Linked DNA regions of Struthio camelus. The protein of the gene in region 1 interacts with the protein of each later gene in a pairwise test. Links are inferred from orthologs where the notes say so. Each region holds a gene or a part of one and is shown in the gene's direction. Other genes may lie near its edges.

What was found.
Region 2: the proteins of CCDC33 (region 1) and PPP2R3C interact in a two-hybrid assay, tested with the Homo sapiens proteins (2 studies listed by BioGRID and IntAct). The two-hybrid records come from large-scale screens. The link is inferred for Struthio camelus from reciprocal best matches to the Homo sapiens genes CCDC33 and PPP2R3C.
Region 3: the proteins of CCDC33 (region 1) and FAM124A interact in a two-hybrid assay, tested with the Homo sapiens proteins (2 studies listed by BioGRID and IntAct). The two-hybrid records come from large-scale screens. The link is inferred for Struthio camelus from reciprocal best matches to the Homo sapiens genes CCDC33 and FAM124A.

The regions. Positions count from the first base shown.
Region 1 is NC_090953.1:23,678,164-23,685,021, reverse strand, and holds the start of CCDC33 (coiled-coil domain-containing protein 33), read left to right. Parts: upstream 1-3,845; 5' UTR 3,846-4,239; coding exon 4,240-4,570; intron 4,571-6,858.
Region 2 is NC_090946.1:55,310,403-55,317,235, reverse strand, and holds the start of PPP2R3C (serine/threonine-protein phosphatase 2A regulatory subunit B'' subunit gamma), read left to right. Parts: upstream 1-3,818; 5' UTR 3,819-3,965; coding exon 3,966-4,014; intron 4,015-4,225; exon of another isoform or gene 4,226-4,916; intron 4,917-5,172; coding exon 5,173-5,300; intron 5,301-6,458; coding exon 6,459-6,563; intron 6,564-6,833. Other genes in the region: PRORP (mitochondrial ribonuclease P catalytic subunit), read right to left, coding at 1,439-2,436. UniProt on the Homo sapiens protein: May regulate MCM3AP phosphorylation through phosphatase recruitment. May act as a negative regulator of ABCB1 expression and function through the dephosphorylation of ABCB1 by TFPI2/PPP2R3C complex.
Region 3 is NC_090942.1:193,536,777-193,544,252, forward strand, and holds the start of FAM124A (protein FAM124A), read left to right. Parts: upstream 1-4,461; 5' UTR 4,462-4,569; coding exon 4,570-4,628; intron 4,629-6,847; exon of another isoform or gene 6,848-6,859; intron 6,860-7,476.

The DNA.
Region 1 (6,858 bases):
TGCTATTTTTAACGTGTTTTGTTCTCGTGCCGAGTTCTGCTTAGCTTAACTGCTTGTGAATTTTCTATTAAAACCCCTGCTAACTATCGTGCCGCAGCTGCGCTGCCAGCAGGAAAGTGCCTATGGTTTTTCAGGGGTGCGTGAACGCGAGCGACGGCTGCAAAGACCAAGAAAGCGGTGCGGGATTTACGTGGATTGTGAAAGAAAGCCGGGAAAACGGGGAAAAATGAGCAGAAACACGGAAACTGAGCTAGGTAAATATGGGGTACCGATCCAGCGTACCCATGAGCTAAGCCGCCCTCGGTGCTGGGGGGCTTTGTCTTGCTCACTGGCTAGAGCCAGCACAGCCTAATTGATAAACTAAGCTGGGTCAGCGTGTCTCCCAAATGCTCCTCAGAAACGATGCTTAATGCAAGCCAGTTGTGTCCCTGGGTGCCTTCCCTGGCAAGCTGAGCTAGCGTGGAGAAGAGGGGGCACGAGAGGCCTGGGGCCGTGGGCTTCTCCTCCGCTTGGTCCTCCCCGAGGCCGCTCGTCCCGGCCTCGTTGCTGCAGGTGCTGAGCTGCTTCCTGCGCAGCCTCTCGTGGGCCCCGTCAGGGAGCTCTGAGGTCTCCTTCCTCATCAAGAACGAGGCCTGAAGGTCTTCTCGTGTCTCGCTGGCTGCGTTGGTCCAGCCGGCTGGATTTTCTCTGGATTTTTGGCTTTTATTGAGCGGCTGGGGGCTCTCTAGAGAGCAACTGCGCCGCGTTTTCAACAGAGCGGGGGGAAAAAAGGAAGGTCTCGTGCTCGTTTCGGAAGCTGCAGCGGGGTAGATGCTAACGTACCTCCTCCAGGCTTGCGGGCGCGCTGAGGTTGGTCCGCGTTCCCCCAGCCTTCCCCTCTCCTGCCGCCGCAGCCCTTCCTCGTGGGCGCCCGTCCTCGTCCCACGTCAGGAGCCGCGTCCTGCCGCCCGCTGTAGCGGGGCCGCCCGGGTCTTGGCGAAACGTCCGTGTCCTGCTGCGGGGACGCGGAGAGCCGAAGCCTGAGCAGATGCTTCCTCGGAAGGAGTCCGCGTTCCCCAGCGAGAGCTTCCCTGCTCCTCCTGCTGCTCCATCCTGCAGTTTTCCCTGTGTGCAGATGTTGTGACAGGGGTTGGGGGGGGGGGAAATCGTGCTTTTCTTTTTTTTGTGCTAATATTTATACTCTCCCAACCTCCTCTTCCCTTCCTTCCGGAGATGTATTTAGGAAGCACCTCAGGAAGGGGTCAGGGAGCTGAGGTCTGGGGCAGCGATGAGCACGGACAAGCCAACCCCGTGTCCTCGAGGGTTTGGTGAGCAAGACTGGAAAATAGCGGCGGGGAGGGGGAAGATGATCTCTGCTCCGGAGATCAGCTCTGCTGCCCTCAGCGTGACCGCGGAGATGCCTTCTTGCTTGCAGACCTGTCACCTGGGCAGGGGTGATTTAGGGGAAAGTGAGGTTTATCCAAGCTATGCACCTTGCTGGGAGCTGCATCCCGCCGTCGGGGGAATCGCGTGACTTTGCATCTGCCCCCGCTTCCCCTCTGAGCATCTCTTCTCCCACGGTGCCGCTTTCATTGTCGCGGAGGCCCTGCGCACCCTCCTCGCTGGCCTGCCTCTCGCGGCCGAAGCGGCGCCTGTTTTAGCCAAGGGCGCTGTGAACGCATCAATCGGAAACGAGCACGTGCGCGAGGAGCTGGAGGGGGAAACCCATAAATTAATATTGCTAAGATGCAGAAAACCCAAGCAAACGAGCCAAAGCTGAGATGAAGGCTGTGCCAGGGTCAGAACAAATCCCCGCGCTCCGCAGCGGACCGCGGTTAAAGCCGCTGCTTGCTCTGTGCCTCGGTTTCCCCACCTGCAGAACGGGGCTTGTGCATAAACTCTCCAGCGTCTCCAGGAAGGGCTGCGATGTGTTTGCCTGGGCCTTAGCCCAGGGCCTCGCATTGGGCAGCTACCTGAATTTTTCCTTTCTGGATGGGAAGAAATGCATTTATTTTCATTTATTTTCAGTCTCTCTATTTTTTTCCTCTCTCTCCAAAACCACACGCACCTCCTATGCTCGTTCTCCCCGCCTTCTCCTGCTTGCTCCTCAGCAAGGAGACTAGCAAGCTCTTCAGCATGGTTGCCCTTTGCGCGATGTTTATCCCCGGGGCGGCCAGCACCCCGTGGCTGGGTGGCAATCCCGTAATCGGCACGCGTTGGTTGGGCGCCTCACCCTGCGCTCACCTCGCCGCCTGCCAGCCCCGTCCCAGCGTCTCCGTCTCCGCTGGAGTGAGACGGCCGGCGGGGAGACAAAGGAGAGGGCTTAGGACGAACAAGCCCCTCATTAAAGAGTTTGGAGCCAAAGACACATGTCGGAGGGGATTTGCAGCAAGGGTTTTGAAAAGCCCTGGGGGGCGAGGAAGGGGGTAGGTGCTAGGCGGGCGAAGCGGCTTTAACCCCTTGCGGTGGGAAGGACGGGCAGCGGGTTTGCTCCGAACGGTTTGAAACCCGCTGCGGTGTTGACCGGGTGTTAACCCCTTGGGAGATGGGAGCGGTTTAATAAAACCCGCTCCCTGGCTTTGGAGGGCACGCGAGCGGAGGTGAGGCGCGTGGCAAGCCCGACCTGTCCGAGTGGCTTGTGGCAAGTCAGCTGCAGTGATTTGAGCTCTGGGCTGGGCGGATGATGCCGCGCGGAGCCCGGTGGGCGCAGTGCGGGGCACGGGGAGCGTGGCGTGGGGGGCTTCGGCGCCTGCTGGCTCTTCCCCTGCGCGGTTGGGGTCGTGCCCAGAAGTGCCGCGGCTCTGTGCTGTGGCCGGAGGGTCGCTCAGGGCTCTCCTTGCTGCGTTTTGTAGCCTGTCGGAGGGCTGCTCACAAATTCTGGCCCGCTACCGTGCGGTTGGCACTGTAGGTTTGGTGATTTTCACGCTCAGCAGCAGTTTCCCCGCGCCCCAGGGACCTGCTCTGCCTCTTTGGTGGCCTGCAGACGAGAACCGTGGCTGCGGCCCAGCCGCTGGCCGGATGTCGGAGCGGGAAGAGCGAGCAGTGCCAGCGAACCGCGGGGTCTGCAGCCAGCCCGACGCCTGCGGGGTGAGGAGCAGCTCTTCGCTCGGCCCCGGCTTGGTGCGGGCAGGCACGTTTATCCTGTTGGGTTTAGGAGCCACCTTGGGAGGCTCAACCAGCTGCGGGAGACGTGAGCTTGGAGTCCTGCGCCTGCGCGGGTGCTGGCTGAGCCTCTGGCCGGCCTTGCTGGGAAGCCGTCCTCCCCCAGGTTATTGTCCCCGCTTTCGGCGCGGCGGGGGGAGGCTGACGGAAAATCCTTGCGCCTCCTCGACTTGCAAATGAAGGCAGCTTCGGTCAGGTTTTCATTAGCACCTCATCTGGCTGCGCTGCTGGCGGATGCCGGGGAGCATCCCCGCGTCCAGCCGGGGTGCTGGGGGCCGTCGGGGCCGGAGCTGCTGGCCAGGGCTGCGGCGGCAGAGCCCGGCGTCCCTCTGTGCTCCGGGGAGGTCTCGGGGGGAGCGGGCCGTAGCCCGGTGTGAGCACCTGTGCGGCAGAGGTGAGCCGGGTGGCACGGGCTCCTGGGGGTTTCTCACCCGGGGGTGTTTTGTGTCTGGTGCAAACGGGCTGGGAAAAATCCCCTCTTGCAATGAGGATTTGTAACAGCTCCAAGGCCCCTCTGGTTTGGGAATTTGTTTGTTCCCTTCCTCCCGCCCCAGCTGCCGTGTGAGTGAGGAGGGGCGAGCGGAGGGGCTGGCTCGCCCCAGCGTGGTGCTGACAGCAGCGTCCGGAAGAGCCCAGCCTGCTGCTCCTCGTCGCGGCTCCATCTGCCAGCGGAGGCGCCCGCCTTCGAGATGCGGCCGCCATAGGGCTGAGCTGAGGACGCCCGCGCTCGTGTCGCTTGTGGCCGGCGCCAGCCCGCTGGCTGCTAGCGGCGCCCCGGCGGCCGCTGAGCCTGTTGCGTTTGATGCCGTCGGTGCGCGCCGCCCTGGCAGGGGGCACGGTGCAGGCGTGGGTGCGGGGCTAAACCGGAGCAGCTGGGAGGAGAAACGTGCTGGCTCGCGCGGGCTGTGACTAACTCGGGCACGGTCCTGTCCCCCCCCGCTTCCATGGATGAAAAACAGCAGCTTGCAGCTCTGCTGTGTCTTATCACATCAGCTGGTGCGAATTAATGAGCGGGAGCTGGGGGGAGCCGTGCATCTCCTCCGTTTGCCCGGCGTTAGGCTGCGATCCCAATTCCTGCAGAGTCCTTAAATTGCAAAAATGCCCGGTGCAGCTAGAAGGGGGGGCAGAGGGGTCCGGGTGGACCGGCAGGAGCGGGAAGGGCCCGAATCGCCAGCAAATCCGCTCTCCGTGGGGCCTGGCCGGAGAAGCCCGGAGCAGCCGGCCGTGCCGCCGGCCCCGACGTCTCTTCCGCTCGCTCCCAGCAGGTCCCGGAGTCCCCCGCCGGGGAGCAGGAGGTGGCCCGCGTGCCGGAGGCTGGCCAGCGGCACGTGGCCCGCGAGGGGATGGAGGCCGTCACCGTCACCCTGCACGGCGCCAGCAACCTGCCGGCCACTCGGGAGGGCCGGGCGCCGCGGCCCTACGTCATCGTGTGAGTACCCGCTCGCGGAGGGACGGGAGATGGGAGCGTCTCGGGCTGGGATAGGACCTCGGTGCGGGCAGAGGAGCCGAGACCCCTCGCCAATGGGATGCGAGGTCTAAAACAGCACCGGGGAGCCCAGAGGACGGGACGCTTTGCATTACCGGAGCGCTGGGAAGAAAGAATTGGTAATATTGAAAGTATAAAGTGATGTCAAAGGATCCACAGGGTAACGCTGCCTGGGTCTGGAGATGATCTCATAATAAATAAAAGAGCGTTTTAATAAATAAAACAGGATGCTGGGGTAAGGAGAAGTTGGCTCCTCGTGCATTATGCATGTGCCAGGGGACTCAATTAGCCGGCCGTGCTTTGGTCTGTGCTAAGAGGGAGGACGCTCTTTGCTAGCGCTGGTGCCTAGGTGGGATCCCACAGCCCTGCCAGGGGGCAGAGCAAATTCGGCACCGCCTGGCGAGGAGGGGGCGCGTAGCTCTCGACGCCTGGCTCTGCGCAGCTGGTTTTGCCACCGCGTTGCCGAATGCGTCCCCCTCCCTCGGGCTGCTCGGAGCTGCGCAGCCAGGAGCCAGGCAGGCGCACGGGTGGCTGGCGAGAGGCAAGCGGGCCAGAGCCCCGGCCCATCGCCTGGGGAAGGACCAAGGTGATGTCAGCTGGCCTGATGCCTCCTCAAAACCCATCTGCAGCACTCTGCGAGCGTGCAAAGCAAACTGTTGCTTGCTGGGCATCTTCCATGCTAGAAACCCCAACCTGTGGGGCAGGCGGCTGGATGCCGGTTTTTAGTGCGGTTGCTCGCAGTTCAACGTGGCTGTCTGGATCGGGGAAAGCGGCAGATGCTGCTTGCCGAGCGACGGGCTTTCCTCAGCTGTTGCTGACTGGCATCTGCAGGCCGCCAGGAGCTGGCTGGCGCGTGGGATGGAGGGTTTGGCGGGCCCACGCGTCTGCCTTGGCTCTCGTGGGAGAGGGGATGCCGTCGCTTACGGGGACGAGGCGTGCGGTGGGCTCGCAGCTGCCAAACCACTGGTGGTCTCAGCCCATCGAGCAAAGGCTTGTCCCTTTGCGCCTTGGAGAGCGGGTCTAGCCTCCCCTTGCTGAGGTCCTCCTCTGCTCCAGCCTGGACCTGAGGGATCCCCAACGGGGACGCGCGCTGCTCCGGAGATGTGGGAATGACCAGGAGAGCTGCAGTGGGCTGGTGGGACACGTGCCTGGCTGGGAGTATCTATGCACCGCATGTCCATCCACTTGGATGGAAAACTCTGCTCCGCTGCCCATCTCCAGCATGGCCCTGCCAACGGCACCCGTTGCCCGCGGAGGCGGTAGCTGAGCTCATGCCCTTCCGATGCCCCTTCGCCGCTTTTCTGCCCGCCGAAGCACGAACCGAGGGCCTGCTCTCGCCCCCGACAGCCCACATAGCTCCACCACAGGAGTTGTCTCCATTTCCATAAAGCAATTATACCCGGCTAATCTCAGGAGATTTAAACATCAATATCCTAAACGATAGCACGAGGGTGGCGTGTGATTGTTGCGTCTTTCTCTGCATCCTGATGCCTCTCCATCAGCGGGTTGCCACGGGAACGGGAGATCGCGGGCGGGAGCGATGGAGAGGAGGGGACGGGGCCCTCCAGCCCCACTGGCATTAAGGATGCAGGACACATGATGGGCCTTTTAGTAACCATAGTGAGGGCGTCAAGGCAGAAGGGAATCGCTTATTATTTTGCGGGGCGCTGGCTTTTTAAGGAGAGTAGCATGTTGCAGTTCAAAGGTGGGCCTCTGAGCAGCGAACATGATGGCTCTGAAGGAGAAGAGAGTGGTGGATGTGCTGGTGGGGCCCTGGGGTTAACCTTTCCCAGTGAAGCAGCCCGGGACCATCCCAGCCACGGGCCAAGAGAGCTGAGCCAGCCCGAACGCAAGCTGGATGGGTAGTGCTAGCCTTCAAGAGTAGCTGTTGCTGATCTGCAGATGGGTCAAATGCTGATCCTCTGTGCTAGCTGTCTGTTGTCCCATGCTCCTTGCAGAAAGGTGCATCATGGCCTCTCGCCAGGCCTTTGGCTGCCTGCCCAAAGTTGCTGCTGACCTCGGTCTCCACCACATAGTTGGCAGGGGCCTCTCTTTTTGGTGGGACAGTCGTGCATGGGCATTTGTGCCCAAGGACATTGGAAATGTCACAAAATCCATTGTGGGAGGAGTGTAAAACCACTCCATTGTCCCCTATGGGAAACCTCCACAGGGTCTGCCGTGCAGCAGGGTGGAGGCATCTTTGCTGCAAGCAGAGCTAGAAACGCAGCTAG
Region 2 (6,833 bases), on another chromosome or scaffold:
CCTGGCGGAAACATTCATTTTTGCCCACAAAACTAAAACAGAATATGTCATATCCATGACAACATTAAACTGCAGACATCTCTCCCTCTGTTGAATGTTTATAATGGTAGGCTGTACAATCACATGTGCCATGGACTTTGGAATAACCACCCCACTTCTCCACTCCTTTCCTGGTTCTCCTGCTGACACGTAGAGGTTCTTTAGGTCTTTTACAAAGACAACAGCAGCAGGAAATTCTGTGCCTCTTTCTCACACACTAGTTTGTCTAGCTTCAGCTTCCAGTACTCTTTTGTCATCATATACTGGTAACACATAGCTCTTAGACAACATACAGACTGGCCCTGCAGTCATCTCCCCAAGTCCTCTTACTAGGCTGAGTTTCCTGCAAATGCACTATAGAGCATACACCCACAGGTAAGTTCTACTCTCTGAGAAAACAGCAGCCCAACACAGATTTTTCATCCACTCAAACAGTTCAGCTTGACTGAAGCTTAGTCTGTCTGTCTGTTCCCTACCTGTTCCCAAGAAAGCAAGCAGGTAGGGCAGGGCAGTATATACTGTTCTAATAACTGCAGCGCGTTCCCACAGCTGTATTTTCTCACCAAGAGCTAACCTGTAAGATAGCTGTGCAGCCCACACAAACTAAACCAAAAATAGAGAGTAATGCGTGTGCAGAAAGCTCCAGTGAACTACACACTGGGCATACACAGCACAATCAGAGGCATTTGCAGAGTCTGACCACCACTGTTCATGAAAACAAACTGTGGCCTGCCAAACACTGTGCTAAAACAAAGAGTTTTCTAACCAGATTTAACCTCTCTCATTATTTTTATGTGAGGACAACACTTAGTCTTCACTTTACCTAAGCTAAACTGATGACGTTCCTAATATTTTTTACTACATTTCAGCAACCCATGCTGGAATATTGTATTCAGGTCTAGTATTGAGAATATATGAAGAACGCTGATAAACTGGAGAGGATTCAGAAGAGAACCAAGAGGGTCTATAACAGAATTTACTGCCTCTTTGCTTTAAAGACAGAAACTTTCTCATTTTCCAAACTTACTACTTCTCTATGCTAGTGGATTATAGGGGAAAAACCAAAAACAAAACAACCCTCATATCTGTCAGTATTCCTTATGTATCAACCTCAATGAGAGGAGATAAAAATCAAGAGATTTTGGGCCACCATGACCCACCAAAGTTTCCTACTTTTTGTACCAAGAACGGATATTTAAAAGGTAAAAACTCTTATGAAGAGGTATCAATCAAAATTGTACATTTGGAGCAGAAATGAAATGCGGCTTTTCATGGCAGTATGCTTCTCAAGGAGCAACACCATAAAATAAGAAGCTGGGGGATTTTATTAGTCTTAATCTGTGGAATAACCTGAATCCTATCCTCATGAACTGCAGCTTGCTTTTGAAACATCATTTACCTTTCAAACCACAGCTTTATACTCCGCATAAATGTTCTGTGAGGGTATATTTGGTTCTCTCTCAAATACAAGAGGATACCAAACAGCTCTTTTTGTAACTCAGCATCTTTCATACCCCTGCTGAAGTCAAAAAAGGCCTGCAGGACATCCAGGGTTGGCACCAAATCCTTAGCCAGCATCTCATGGTAAAGTTCACATGCCAGGTTCATTTCTTGGTGACGGCTGGCCGCTTTGATACAGGATTCATAGTTTGTTCTTGAGGGAGTCATAACTTTTCTTACTTCTTCCAGAAGAGTCAAGGCCATTCTCCATTGATCTGAATTACTCAGCCCCCTGATAAGAAGGTTGTAAGCCCCACTTTCTAATATCTTAAATCTGATTTTCATTATATCATACACATCACAAATCTCTGCCGTCTTCCCTTGCTGGACACATAACGCCAGGTACTTGACCAACAAATTATACCTAATGTCACCATCAGTCTTCGCCACATAAGTCAGCAAGGACTTGGCCACATCTATGGGGCTGTTGCACCTGACCATACTGTTAAACATCACATCTTCAAATATTTCAGGTGATCGAAAGTTTTCCCTCAGCCTACTCCATTCTTCGGCCTGCAAAGGCTTTTCTGGAGGCTGGACCTCGACAAATTTATGCCTTGACAGAACATGACTCACTAATCGTTTCTTCGGAGCTCCAGAGGAATAAAAGTGAAGTTTTCCTTCAGATATTTTTTTACTCTCCTCATCCCATGCTGTTTCTCCTTCATACTGAATCTCAGACCTTTTCTTAGTAGGAAAAGCCTCAGTTCCTTTGGAATCCACTGGCAATGCAGTGCTGGAAGATGTCATAAAACTGAAATAGCTAACCTTTTCCCTGTTGGCGATATTGAAAGAGACAGCAAACAGCTGCTGGCATCTTGAAAGAGGCCACAATACACGACATTTCCCTAGCAAAGCCTGCATACCCTGTTGGCTAGTTTGAGGAAAGCGTGCCATTATAAGAAGAAACTATGTCACTACTAGCTCACTATATCTAAAGAAAAAGGAAAAACACAATTCACATAGGAAGGCTTATTATAAAAGTCTTAAGGCTATCAAGCTGTATACATTACACTCTTTCTTCAAAACGCTTATCCTGTGATTCTTTCAACCCTGTTAGGAAAACAAAAAATGGTAAAATCTTTTTTCACAAAAATGGATGTCTTAAACTAGGAGAACATGCTTCCGAAATTAGGGCATCTTTCTTCCTAGACAAGTTGCTTTGCAGGTTTGCAGCTTATTGCTTCTGTTTGTCGGATGCTGTTAAGTAATACAGCTGCTGTACAGAAATGGGCAACACTGATGCAGCTATCCAAGAAATATAGGGCTTTTTTCCTGTCTTCATCCAAGTCAAGTCAGATTTCCTAAAAATAAACAAAATAAAGAATACCACTACAAAGAATAACATCATAACATGCTTCACGCTTAGTATAAGTCTTTGCTGCGACATTTACAGCTACACGCTAGCCAACGCAAAAGCCATGTTTATCGAGACAATTTTAGGTTAGGAATCCAAGTGCTGGTAACAGACTCCCAACACGGGAATCCTGCATTAGTTCCCTCACGCCTTTTAACCCATGACAAACTTCAGCTCAGCTGGTGCCCCCCGTTACACACTGTGGGTAACATCGCTGCCACGGCGGGAGGGCAGCACCGCCTGCGGTAGCCGCAAGCGCACGCCCCAGGCGGACGCTGCCTCGGGAAGGCTCAGGACGGTGCGCGGCCACGGCGGCAGCGCCCGACGCCGCCCCCGCTCGAGCCAGGCCCCGGGCACAGCGAACACGGAGGCCCCCGCTCGGCGCCGGCACCCACCGGGGGGCCCGCGCCAGCACAGGGCGAGGGCGAGGGCACGGGCGCGGGCAGGCTCCCCTTCCCCTAGGAACTAAAGCTCCCGGCGTGCAGCGCGCCCGCCGCCGGGCCGCGCGTTGCATGCTGGGAGACGCAGCTCCTCCTGCTTCCTCTTCCCTCCCCCCCACCCCGGGCCCCGCATCAAGGCAAAAAGCGCTGTCCCCGACTGGGCTGCGCCGTCACCTCTCCGCGGACGGACCCACCTCGAACAGTGCGCGGCAGCCATGGGTACCTCGGCACTACAACATCCCAGCAGGGTGGGGCTTAAGGTGGCGGCAGCCATGCGACTGACAGGGCACTAACCGCCACCCAGACCGGAACTGCTTCCCGAGCACGGGTGCGTTGGACTTTGAGCCAATCAGAGATTAATGGGTGGGGCGTGTTGGGCCACACGTGATCCCACATACCCAATCAGAGAAGGGCACAGCACGCTACCCGGTAGCGGGTTGTACTGCCATATCAGTTATGGGCACAATGCTTCGGGAGGGGGTGGGGGTTACGCGGGCACAGTCATGCAATGCGCATGCGCCGAGGACTGGCAGGCTGGGTCACAGGTCTTGCCCTCTTGCGGGGTCGTGCCGGTCACGTGGCCCCGGCGCGAGTAGCCCGGATGTGCGGGGCCGGCGGCCGCGGCGGACATGGACTGGAAGCGGAGCCTGAGGGGTCGCCTGGCCGCCCGCAGCGCCCGTGAGTGTCGCGGGCCCGGGCAGCAGGGAGCCGGGCCGGCCCGGGCGGGGGCAGCGCCTGGCGCCGCGGCAGGCACGGGCCCCGGCCCAGTCTCTCCTTCACGGCGCGGAGCTCCGCCCCTCCCTGCCCGTCGCTCCTCGCCGCGCCTTAACGGCCGCCGCGGGGCGTTGGAGCCGCCAGCGGCCGCTGGGGGGCGGCGGCGGGGCGGGGAGAGGAGGGGGCGCTCCCGCCGGCGTCCGCCGCCCGCGGGCTCCGTCCCCCTGGCGGCAAGCCCGCGATGCGCTGTCGACCAGCCGCGCGGGGGGCTTTGGCGTCGCCTGGGAGCGTGCTTAAAGGCGAGGGGCTTGTCGGCGAGCCCCGCTCGGCGCCCCCCGCGGGGGTGCCCTGGGAGCTGCGCGCCGCCGCCCCGCACGGCGGGACAGGCGCGGGCGAGTCCTTCGCTGATGCAAGCCTTAAGCCTTGGCCGGTCGTTTTAGTTCAGCGAGCGTCGAATGTCGCGTTGATGAGAAGACAAAGCAGCTTTGACTCACTTTGTAGAGAAACAAATATGAGCCTCTGTTCTAGAGGTTAGCGTTAACAAGGCTCCAGGCTGAGGAGCACGGCAGAGCTTGTGTAGCCGTGTAGAAATGGGTCTTGCGAAGGCTGGTTTATCTCTAGTACATACCTGTTATGTCTTTGGCTGGTAACTCTTGATTCTTAAATGAATGCACGAAGAACTCTCCTAAGATTAAGAGCATGGTCATATGCCTGCAAGACTGAAAGGTGATATGCTGTTACTGCTTGTAGTAAGCAGTCTTAAAAATGATTAAAAAAAAAAAAAGCACCTTTGAAAAGCAAGACTGTTGCTGCTTTGTCAGTCATAACCACCTTTGTGTCCTTACCACATAACCATATCGTATCAGGTATGTGCAGTTACTAGAAAATGTACTTTGCCGATATTTGAGTAGAACAGATGTATAACATGTTCAGTGTACATGTTTAATTTATGTGATAGGCATGTGCTTCATTTACTTTCATCTGAGTTCCTCATAATAACTGTGTTATTAAACAGCATGGTTGTAGAAAACTCAAGGTCAATTCCTTTTTTCAAGCTCTTAGTTACATTGAAATGCTGTATATTTGGAGTACAGTATGAAAATTCTCTTTTGTATTAATCAGCCAAAAAGAGTGAGCAAGAGCTGAAGGATGAAGAAATGGAATTGTTCACAAAATACTACATGGAATGGAAAGGAGGAAGAAAAAGTGGCAATACATCATATACGAACATACCACGGTTTTACTACAGGGTAAGTGAGGTATCCGGTTAATACTTAAACCAGAGACTACTCTGCGTTATAAAGGGAAATTATGCATATTCAAAGGGGTCTTTCAGCCCCAGTATCTTAAGTAGATCCAGATCTGGAAAAATGTGGGTTATTAAGCCTACAGTGTGGGTTGCTAAACCACAGTCTGCAGTTGTGGATTTCAGCAATTTAAAATAATTAATTGCTAAGCATCCTATAAAAGGCCATGAAATAGCTTGCTAATGCTACTATTAACAGGAAGTAGGCTTGGCTGTTGAATAAAATGATAAAGTCCTCGTTCAGAGAAATTTGCTTCTTGTTTTACCTAATTTTTGATATACCAGTGTTATAAAATACACATCCTCCTATTCCTGCTTAGGCACAGTGGTATTCATGAAGAGAGTATGTTGTTGATCTGGCAGACTAAAGACAGAGCTGCTGCTTGCATCATCCAGCAGAAATGGAACAAGAGCACAAGTCTGACATTTTGGTATTGTTACCATTTGTCAACACAACTGCTCAACTACTGTGTAACCTCTGTGTAAGGATATTCCTTAGGAACGTGAAATTCTCAAATGCCTTTGTTTCAGTTGCTGAATATGCATGCAACCATTCAAATTCTGGTAGTGCTGTGCAGCTTCTCGTGTAAACATCAGCAGAACTTTCATAGTAGGCATCCTCCCATCCATCCTGCTTGCCAACTCTCATTGTTCTCGTCTGGTAGACGATCTTGTCTAGTAGGTGGTCTCATCTTTGAGATTCAGGGCTACCATGAAATAGAAGGCACTCCTCTCTCTTCTGACTAATAGCACAGTACTAAAGTCTTCTATGTGGGAGCCCTCCTGTCGGGCAGCTGTGGAAAAGAGCTTACTAGGTGGGTTATCAGGTGTGCGGTAGGTCTTTTTCAGTTTCTCATGTCAAAGATGTCCTGCTTTAAATATCTCTTTCAATATTAAAATAATCTGAGACAGCATGCAAGTGATATTTCTCTATCCAGAAGAAGCAGATACCACACAGCATTCTGGTAGATATTTCAATATTTTCTGTGGAGTGGAACAGCATCAGAAGATTTGAGTCAGGTCTAATTAAGAATACTTGCTAGCTCTCTAGTTTTTGAATACTACTTCTGTACAGAAAACTCAAATGCCACAATGTTTCTAGCTGCCAGCTGAAGATGAAGTCTTGCTTCAGAAATTAAGAGAAGAATCTAGAGCAGTCTTTCTGCAAAGAAAAAGTAGAGAACTGTTGGATAATGAAGAGCTTCAGGTAAGGAAATATTTTCTGTATGTTTTGAATGGCTTTTGACAGAATTCCTCTGTCTACAGAGTTTTATCCTCTTCTGTCCGTCCGCAGAATCTTCTGGTGCAGTTTGTAAGGTGCTTTGTACCTGGGCGAGTTGGCTTGTTGTGAAGTACTGGCCAAAGCCTAAGTGCTGCGTAGTCTTAAGCTGGTAACCAAAGTGTAAGACTTGGATGTTATGGTGTACATGAGATCTAAATCAATGGCTTCTAGTCTTCCAGTGTATTCCAACAATTT
Region 3 (7,476 bases), on another chromosome or scaffold:
TCCTGAATCATCTGCTAAGCCAGATCTCTGTTCTGTTTTTCAAAGACTAGAAAGACTCACTAATTTATAGTGTAATGCAGAAGGAACTGCAGTGGCATCTGCCCCCTTTTCTTTTGGAATTGCACAGAACGGAAGAGACTCAAAATGTCACATGAAAAGAACTGAATCAAATATTTTTTTCCTAGCAGATTGCCCTGATAACTACAATTTTCTCTTCTCTCTCTACCCTACAGTGAAGTTCTGCCACTGTGCAGAAAGAAATATAAGGAAGAGATTAGAAACATCCCATAAGTGTCCTTAATCATTAGGACATTCATATGGGGCAGTGGAACTGTCACCTCTCTTCCTTCACTTCTCTTTAGGCTAGAGAACCAGACTCATACTCTTTCTTCCATGCGCACTCTATCCTCCTGGCTGAGGCAGGAAAGATGATAGACAAGTAGACAGAACTCCATGAGTAGAAAAAGAGATTGAAATTTGAATCCAGGTGTGGCTTCATCAGGGAAATCGATGCTTTTGCTTCCTCTTATCCTTCAGCACACGTATGATCTGACATGGGTTCATCCACGCAGCTCTTCGTGATGTCTTTATCCCCCTTCAAGGCTGCAGCTATCACTTTTCCGCACTGTGTTCTCAGTTACTAAAGACTAAGATCATTATGTGAGGGAGGTGGGAGGAGGTTTTACTGCCTGCATTTGCTTCTGCAAGGATGGAGGTCTCAGCAGCTGGTGGTTGCAATTAGGTACTGCTCAGCTCTGGTATGAGGTAAACTGGTTAGCCTTGTAAATTCTAGACATATAGCATTAGGGATATTGAAAATTTTAAATTAAAAATGTAAGTTGCCTTTGAAGGTTAGGCATCTCCTAATCAGCCACAGTGTGGAATCACAGATTCGAACTCAGGCATTTAAATTTTCTTTACATCCTCCTTTAAGTTAAGTTATATTTTAGATCTGGTCCTACACAACTAACAGCAAGAGAACTCTCTGCAGAACAGGCATTAATTTCATGTCCTCAGTGTTAGTTCCATTACTTTTTGATAAGAGAGTGGTTTATTTTTTTGGCTTCTTTGAAGATTTCTCCTGATACTTTTATGTCTGACAGCCTTTGTGACCACTGCTATTAAATGCTGCTTAATGAAAGGCTTGAAATTTGGGGAAATTTAACCCAAGAATATTTTCACTATTATCCTTACCTTGAAACTGGTATCACAGACTCATAAATACAAGAGAGTAAATAAAACGTAACTTCTTTTTTCAACAGACCATACAGAAGAGCTAATGTGAAGAAATGATAACAGAGAAATGCTAAGTAAAAGCAAGGACATAACACCTCATTCATTAGAATCTCTGAAATGCCGAGAATTTATTGCAGAGAAGACTTCTTTTCACCATAATTACGTGAAAGACCAGAATAAAACTGAGTTAAATGAGGCAAATATATAAATAAGAGAGTCTAGAGTTTGTGGTAGCTTTACTTACTGTCTTAATTATATATTTTCTTTAGAATGTTTCTTTTTTCCCTCCCTTGGACAGATGGAGTAAATTAATCCTAAATGCAGCATAAAATCTATTCCAGATCCTCTCATATGCCAGTGCTTAAACATAACTAACTAGGATAATAAAAGTCAGAGACAGAAAAGATGTATTAGCTGACCACCTAAAATTTTACATGCAGAAATGTATCATTTTAACTAAATCTATTTCTAAATATTTAAGAAGGTTTGGTTACATCTTAAATCACATCAACAGTGGCTAAACTCAATTTATTTGACTTTGAGATTACACTTAAAAGTGAGTGGGAATGACCTGCTTTTAAATAGAGTTGTACTGATTAAATAAATTTGTGTGTGTAGACTAAGAATCAGAGAGACAGCAGGGTCTGTGCAGTGCTGGTACTACAGAATACTGAATATGTCCTTTGGGACGTTCAGTGTCCTCCATAGTCATTACAGTCGTTAGAGAGGAAATCTTTAGCTGTTTCAGAACAGGAGCCCGAACTGGGAAGCGAGATATACTGAATTCTTGTCTCAATTTTGCCATGGTGTTGCCTTGGGCAAATCACTTAATACACAATGTCTGAAAACATGTTAAGGCCTTTTACCTGAATGTGGTGATTCCAATACTAAGAAGTTGAGGACCAGATTCTGCCACAGTTATTCTCACAGCCTGGCACAGCGCCTTGGTCCCAACCCTAAAAAAAATTACACACATTTAATTTTGCACATATAAGGAAATTGCTTTAGATGGTATAGTCTACCAGTCAGGAAGGATGGAAGAGTTTGTTTTTGTATTTTTGGAACTATTATACATATGCCAGTATAGAACTGATGTGTATCAAGAACCTTTTATAGCATTTTGCCCAAACTAGCATTTAGTAACTTGCTAGAGGAAAGAGGGAAGAGGGACTCCAGTTAAGGGGGCTTCTTCCATACCTAGCGCATTATTTTTATTGGGATATTATTTATGTTAAGCCCTCCACATAAACTGAAAAATCATCTATATTGTTTTTAAAATGACATGTGTGCAAATCAAGGCAGATAGTCAAAACATTTTAAACACTAAGGTCCCCATACACCACTAGGATTTTTTTCCAGTACTTGATGAATAGATACAGGAACTAGAAAGTTTCTTCTAAATATCACTGGGGATACATAGTGGACTGATCTGTGATACCCACAGGTCCCAGGGCTGCACATGAGTTCAGTGTCCCTTCCGTGGTGGGACAACAGGAATTCACTGCTTTATCGACTTAGCAGTTTCGTTATGAGCATTTCCGGCGTTGATGCATGTTCATTGCTCCTACAGTGTGCTAAAAAGACCTTTGGTGTTGTTTCCAAGTCACTCTTTCTGTTTGATTTTACAATGTTCCTAGCTACATATAGATTATTTTAGAGAGCCAATGCCATACACCACTAGAGACATCAGTGGCACGAAGTACACACAGCTTGAGCCTGCTAAACGATGTTAGTTGTTACTATTAAATTGTGTTAGCGCATGCCTACACATGGCTCACTCTACTACTGACAGTATTCAAATGAAGGACATCGATGTCAGACTATGTAGACAACTAAACTAGCTCAGCAATTCTTTTGACAATGTAAGATTGTCTTGTACAGTGCATTTCTACAGTCTGGTCCAGTCTGGTATTTTATGTTTCAAATACTGAGATTTTCATCATTTTCCTTCTTCCCTGTGAGGTACAAATAAAAAAAGGTGGAACAAAATACTTATTTTTTAATTTTTTTTTGCTTGTGATCTGGAAGTGGCTGTCTCCTGCAGCTGACAGAAATTAGGCAGTCATTGGTGATTTTTTGAGAGAAAATTCCAGTTCCTCAAAGGTGAAATTTTCCATACAACATTAATGGAAAAGGTTTCCTAGTTTCCAAGGTGGAGTCATCATCTTCTTTTTTTTTTTTTTTAAGTCGTCCCATAACATCTCAATTGCAGGGAGCACAGGAGTACTGACTTTTAGCTTTATGCTTGACCCTGATTCAGGAGACGCATGATTTGTTTCAGGTTGGAGACAAATCAGTTCTGCCCCCTTCCCTTATGATCTGTTCGGGCCTGAACAACCAAACAGACTAACAAATGACTGACGTTTTGGCTGAGTGCGATCTAGGTTCACATCCCTGTGTTGGTGAATATTTACACCAAATGTGAGTGACTGAGAAAAGGAGAAGTGTTCAAATACAAAACAAGGCTGGTGGGCAGGAGATGTGCAGAATACAGGAGCCCATTTCCTGCTTATAGTTCAACCTCTTTGAATGCAACTGCCCCACTAGTGGTAAGTCTTGCTACATCAGTATTTCTCCCCTGGAAGCCTCAGAGCAAAGTGGTTTTTCCTTCATTATTACAGAAATTCTCACAGGGCTAGGAAACCATTCCCTGTCCGTTTTTGCACATCATTTCAAAATAATGATATTTAATATAACGAGTGCGTGCCAGGTGACACTCAGGGGGCAAGAGAAAGCTCAGCACAGCCTAAGACTTCAAAGAGAAGACAGGGATAGCACCTACCCCAAAAATGAAAAGAAGATGGATAGCAAAGAGACAGGTGCCTTTAACTTCCAACAGATACAGGCACCACACCTCTTAGCCCTTCTCTCTACTGGAAGAATAGCAGCGATATAAGGAGGCTGCGGCAGTGCTTGCTAACGCAGGCATGATGATGCATGAGGAGTTTCTAACACGTGAGGGCTGGAATAGGACGATCCCTCAGCACGTGCGAGCGCAACAAGGGTGCCCCGAGGTATTTTGCCGGCGAGATTGGGGTATTTTGGGGTGGGGGGAGCACCGAGCCCCATGATGCAGGCGCTCCCTCCCCCTCCCCCCCCGCCTCAGTGCTCCGCGCGGCCGTTAACGGCTGAAGAGGGGGGGCGCGCGCGCGGCCGTTAACGGCTGGGGGAGGGGGCGCGCGCGCCGCCGCCCTGCCCCGCCCCGCCCCGCCCCGCCCCGCCCCTCCCCTCAGCGGGGCGTGCGCGCGGCGGAGCGGTTCTCTCCGCCGCCGCCCGCACACGGCGCAGCGGGACGAGCAGCTCCGGCGGCCATGGAGCTCTGACGCCTCCACCATGGACAAGAAGCCCGGCGGCGAGGATGAGTGCGTGGACTCGGGAGCCGAGACGGGCGGGTGAGTGAGTCGCGGGGTGACCGGCGGCCGCACCCCCCCCCCTTCCACCTCCCCGCGGTGGCGGAGCGGCTCCTGCCCCGCGGCCGCAGCTGCTCCCGCCCGCCCGGCCGCCCGCCCGCTGCACTTGTTGTCGGCGCCCTCCGCCGAGCGCGCCCCGCGGCGGCCCCGGGGAGCGGGTGTTTCCTCGCAGGCTTTGTGTCCCGGCATGCGGCAGCCAGCAGTGGGATTTTTCCCTCCCTGCCTGCCGGGCAGCACCCCTCGCGTGTAGTTTTCTGGCTAACTGTCATGTTTTAACCCACCCGCGCTTGCTGTGGGTAGGTGAGAGGCCGCGGGCCAGCGTGGGGTTGGGGGGCGCCGAGGTGGCTGCGGCGGAGCCCTCCCGGCCGCTGCGGTCCCCTGGGGAGCAGGGAGCACTCCTACCTCGGAGGATTGCCGTGTTTTAAAGGCCCCGGTGGTCCGCCCTCTCCTGTGGTCGAGTTAGGGAAGAGCTCCCCATCGTCCTCGTCTTACACGTGGGGACCAAGATGCGAAGGTGTCACGGTGCTGTGTTTCAAGTGTGAGCCCCAAACCAACTCCTGCGACTTCACCGGTGGGGCCTGGTGCTGTGCTTCATGGGCCATCAGCAGGTGCCAGAGTGTGGTGCTCAGGGTTTGGTTCTGCCCCATCCCTCTGTGTCCCCTGATAATCCGTGTTAAGGATGGCTGGGAAGGTGCCTGTCCTAGCCTGTCACCATCTCCCATCAGCCCTTGTGGCAGAAACCTTGCCAGCATCAGGCAGACAGGCTGAGTCCTTGGAGGGACCATCGGAGCGCCACAGAGGCAGGTTAGGTTGGTAGCACCCCGGAACTGGGTTGCTGCTCTCGTGATTCTCACCATACTGACCTGTGAAGTGCCATAAGCTCTTTTGGTAGTTGTCCAACCTGTAAGTGTATAAGAGGCATGGAGAGTGACAGTTCAACCTGTGTCATACAAGAGTCAAGGAGAGTTTTATCTGGCTCTGTGCCCCAGCTGCCAGAGGTACAGTGTGTTTGAAAGTTAGATGACTTGCCCTAATATCATGGGGCTGCAAGGATGAGTCATGGGATCCCCAGTTCTGACTGCTGCAGATCCCAACTCCAACCTGTCTCTGTGGTGGAGAGAGGGAGGCTCTTTCCGGCCCATTTTACATGCTGTTGCCGTGTTGTCTTGTCAGGAACGGTGGTGAGCCCTTGCTCATTCTTTGGATCCAGAGGGACAAAATGAGGTTGCCTGTTCGCTTTGCTCTGTTCTCTCCTAGGTCTTCATTTTCCTCCATCCTAGCTTTCTCAGCCGTGTTCCTCCTGGCTCCTCGCCTGGTCTTTCTCCCTTGGTCTTGAGTCTGACCGCCTCATGGGTGTGAGGGTGTAACACACAAACGGGGTTGGACAGCGTTCCTGTTTTTTCTTTGACCCTGTCTGCCTTGCTGCTGTAAAAGCACATGCTGAGATTCAGAGAAAAGGGAGCACCCTAATCTCAAACTGATGCAAGTAAATAAAAGTGCTTACTGTTTGTGTCAGGGCACTGTGCTTAAGTATGAGACTGAGAGCATAAAGGAACTGTAAAGCTAATTCTTGATTGTGAAGTGGTGGCACTGTACCCAAATTAAAGTAGCAATATTATAATCTTTTTTTAAAAGTTTTGGATGAAAATGGAATATTGCAATCTTTTTTCGTACATCCAACTATTCATTTAAATCAAAATTTTTGGTTTTGAACTCCTCTGTCATCAGAGAAGTTGTGGACTCTTTTCCTTTCACTATAAATTGTTGCAGTATTGCAGTATGGTGAAAGTTTTAAAATATTTTATGTGGCATCAGCATAAAGGAAAAAATGCAGGCCACCTTCCTAGTCCTTGGGACAACAGTTTTTTAGTTCATCTTTGGGGAATGTGGATAAGATTAAGACAGCATAATTGGTGAATTCATGGCTAGTTGAAAGCTCAAGAAATCCCTGATGGGTCAAGTCACTCTTAATTTGTTGAGCTTATCCAGAATAGAAAAACCTGCATTTTGTTGGGAGGGGCACTTGGAAGGATTTGACCCAGATGATAACATTAGCCTTTAGACCTTAGTGATCAGCAGGACAGCTGCTCATGTCTGGCGCTGATGAGGTGTTAAAGCTGATGATTTTATGAAGCATCTTTGTTGCAGGCTTGACACTGGAAGGCAGAGTTTAACAGTAGAGGCTGTTGGAGGAATTTTAATCGTGGCATATGGTAATTAATAAGTGCAGTTCCTTTCCCTGAATTTTATTTTGGGGGGGAAAAAAACAGACCTCTGCATTTCAGTTTTATTTTTTGTTCTATTTAGCAGCTATTTTTAGTTCATCTAGTTCATTTAGTCTGATAAACATGACACGTATGTCCCTTTCACAATGTTTATATTTCAGTTTTCTCACCAAGCCAACTGTTCACAGTGCTTGCCTTTTCTTCTTAGTGAAGATCTGCCTTTTACTTTATCTAAGTCCTATAATAGCTATTGCCAAATTGAACTGTCCTTGTTCTCCAATTACTCAAATATTAAAAAAAAAAAAAAAGGTTTTTAAGTTCAGCCATCATCCTATGAATGTCCTATGTATTAGGAGAGACAACTGTCAAAGTAATTCAGTAACAGTTTCACATCAAGTGGTCTCTTTCTGTCACTCAAAGAACAGTATTGTATAGTGACTGTAGAGTAAATCCAGGCGCTGCAAGCCATTGTCACCTTGATGATGGTATACGAGGATGTGTGAGCTCTTATGGAATCTGTAGTGCTGAAACCATTTATAGCAACTAATAAATCTAATACATTAAATGTTCTAGATGGCATATGTTTCTTCACGTTTTGCTATGGC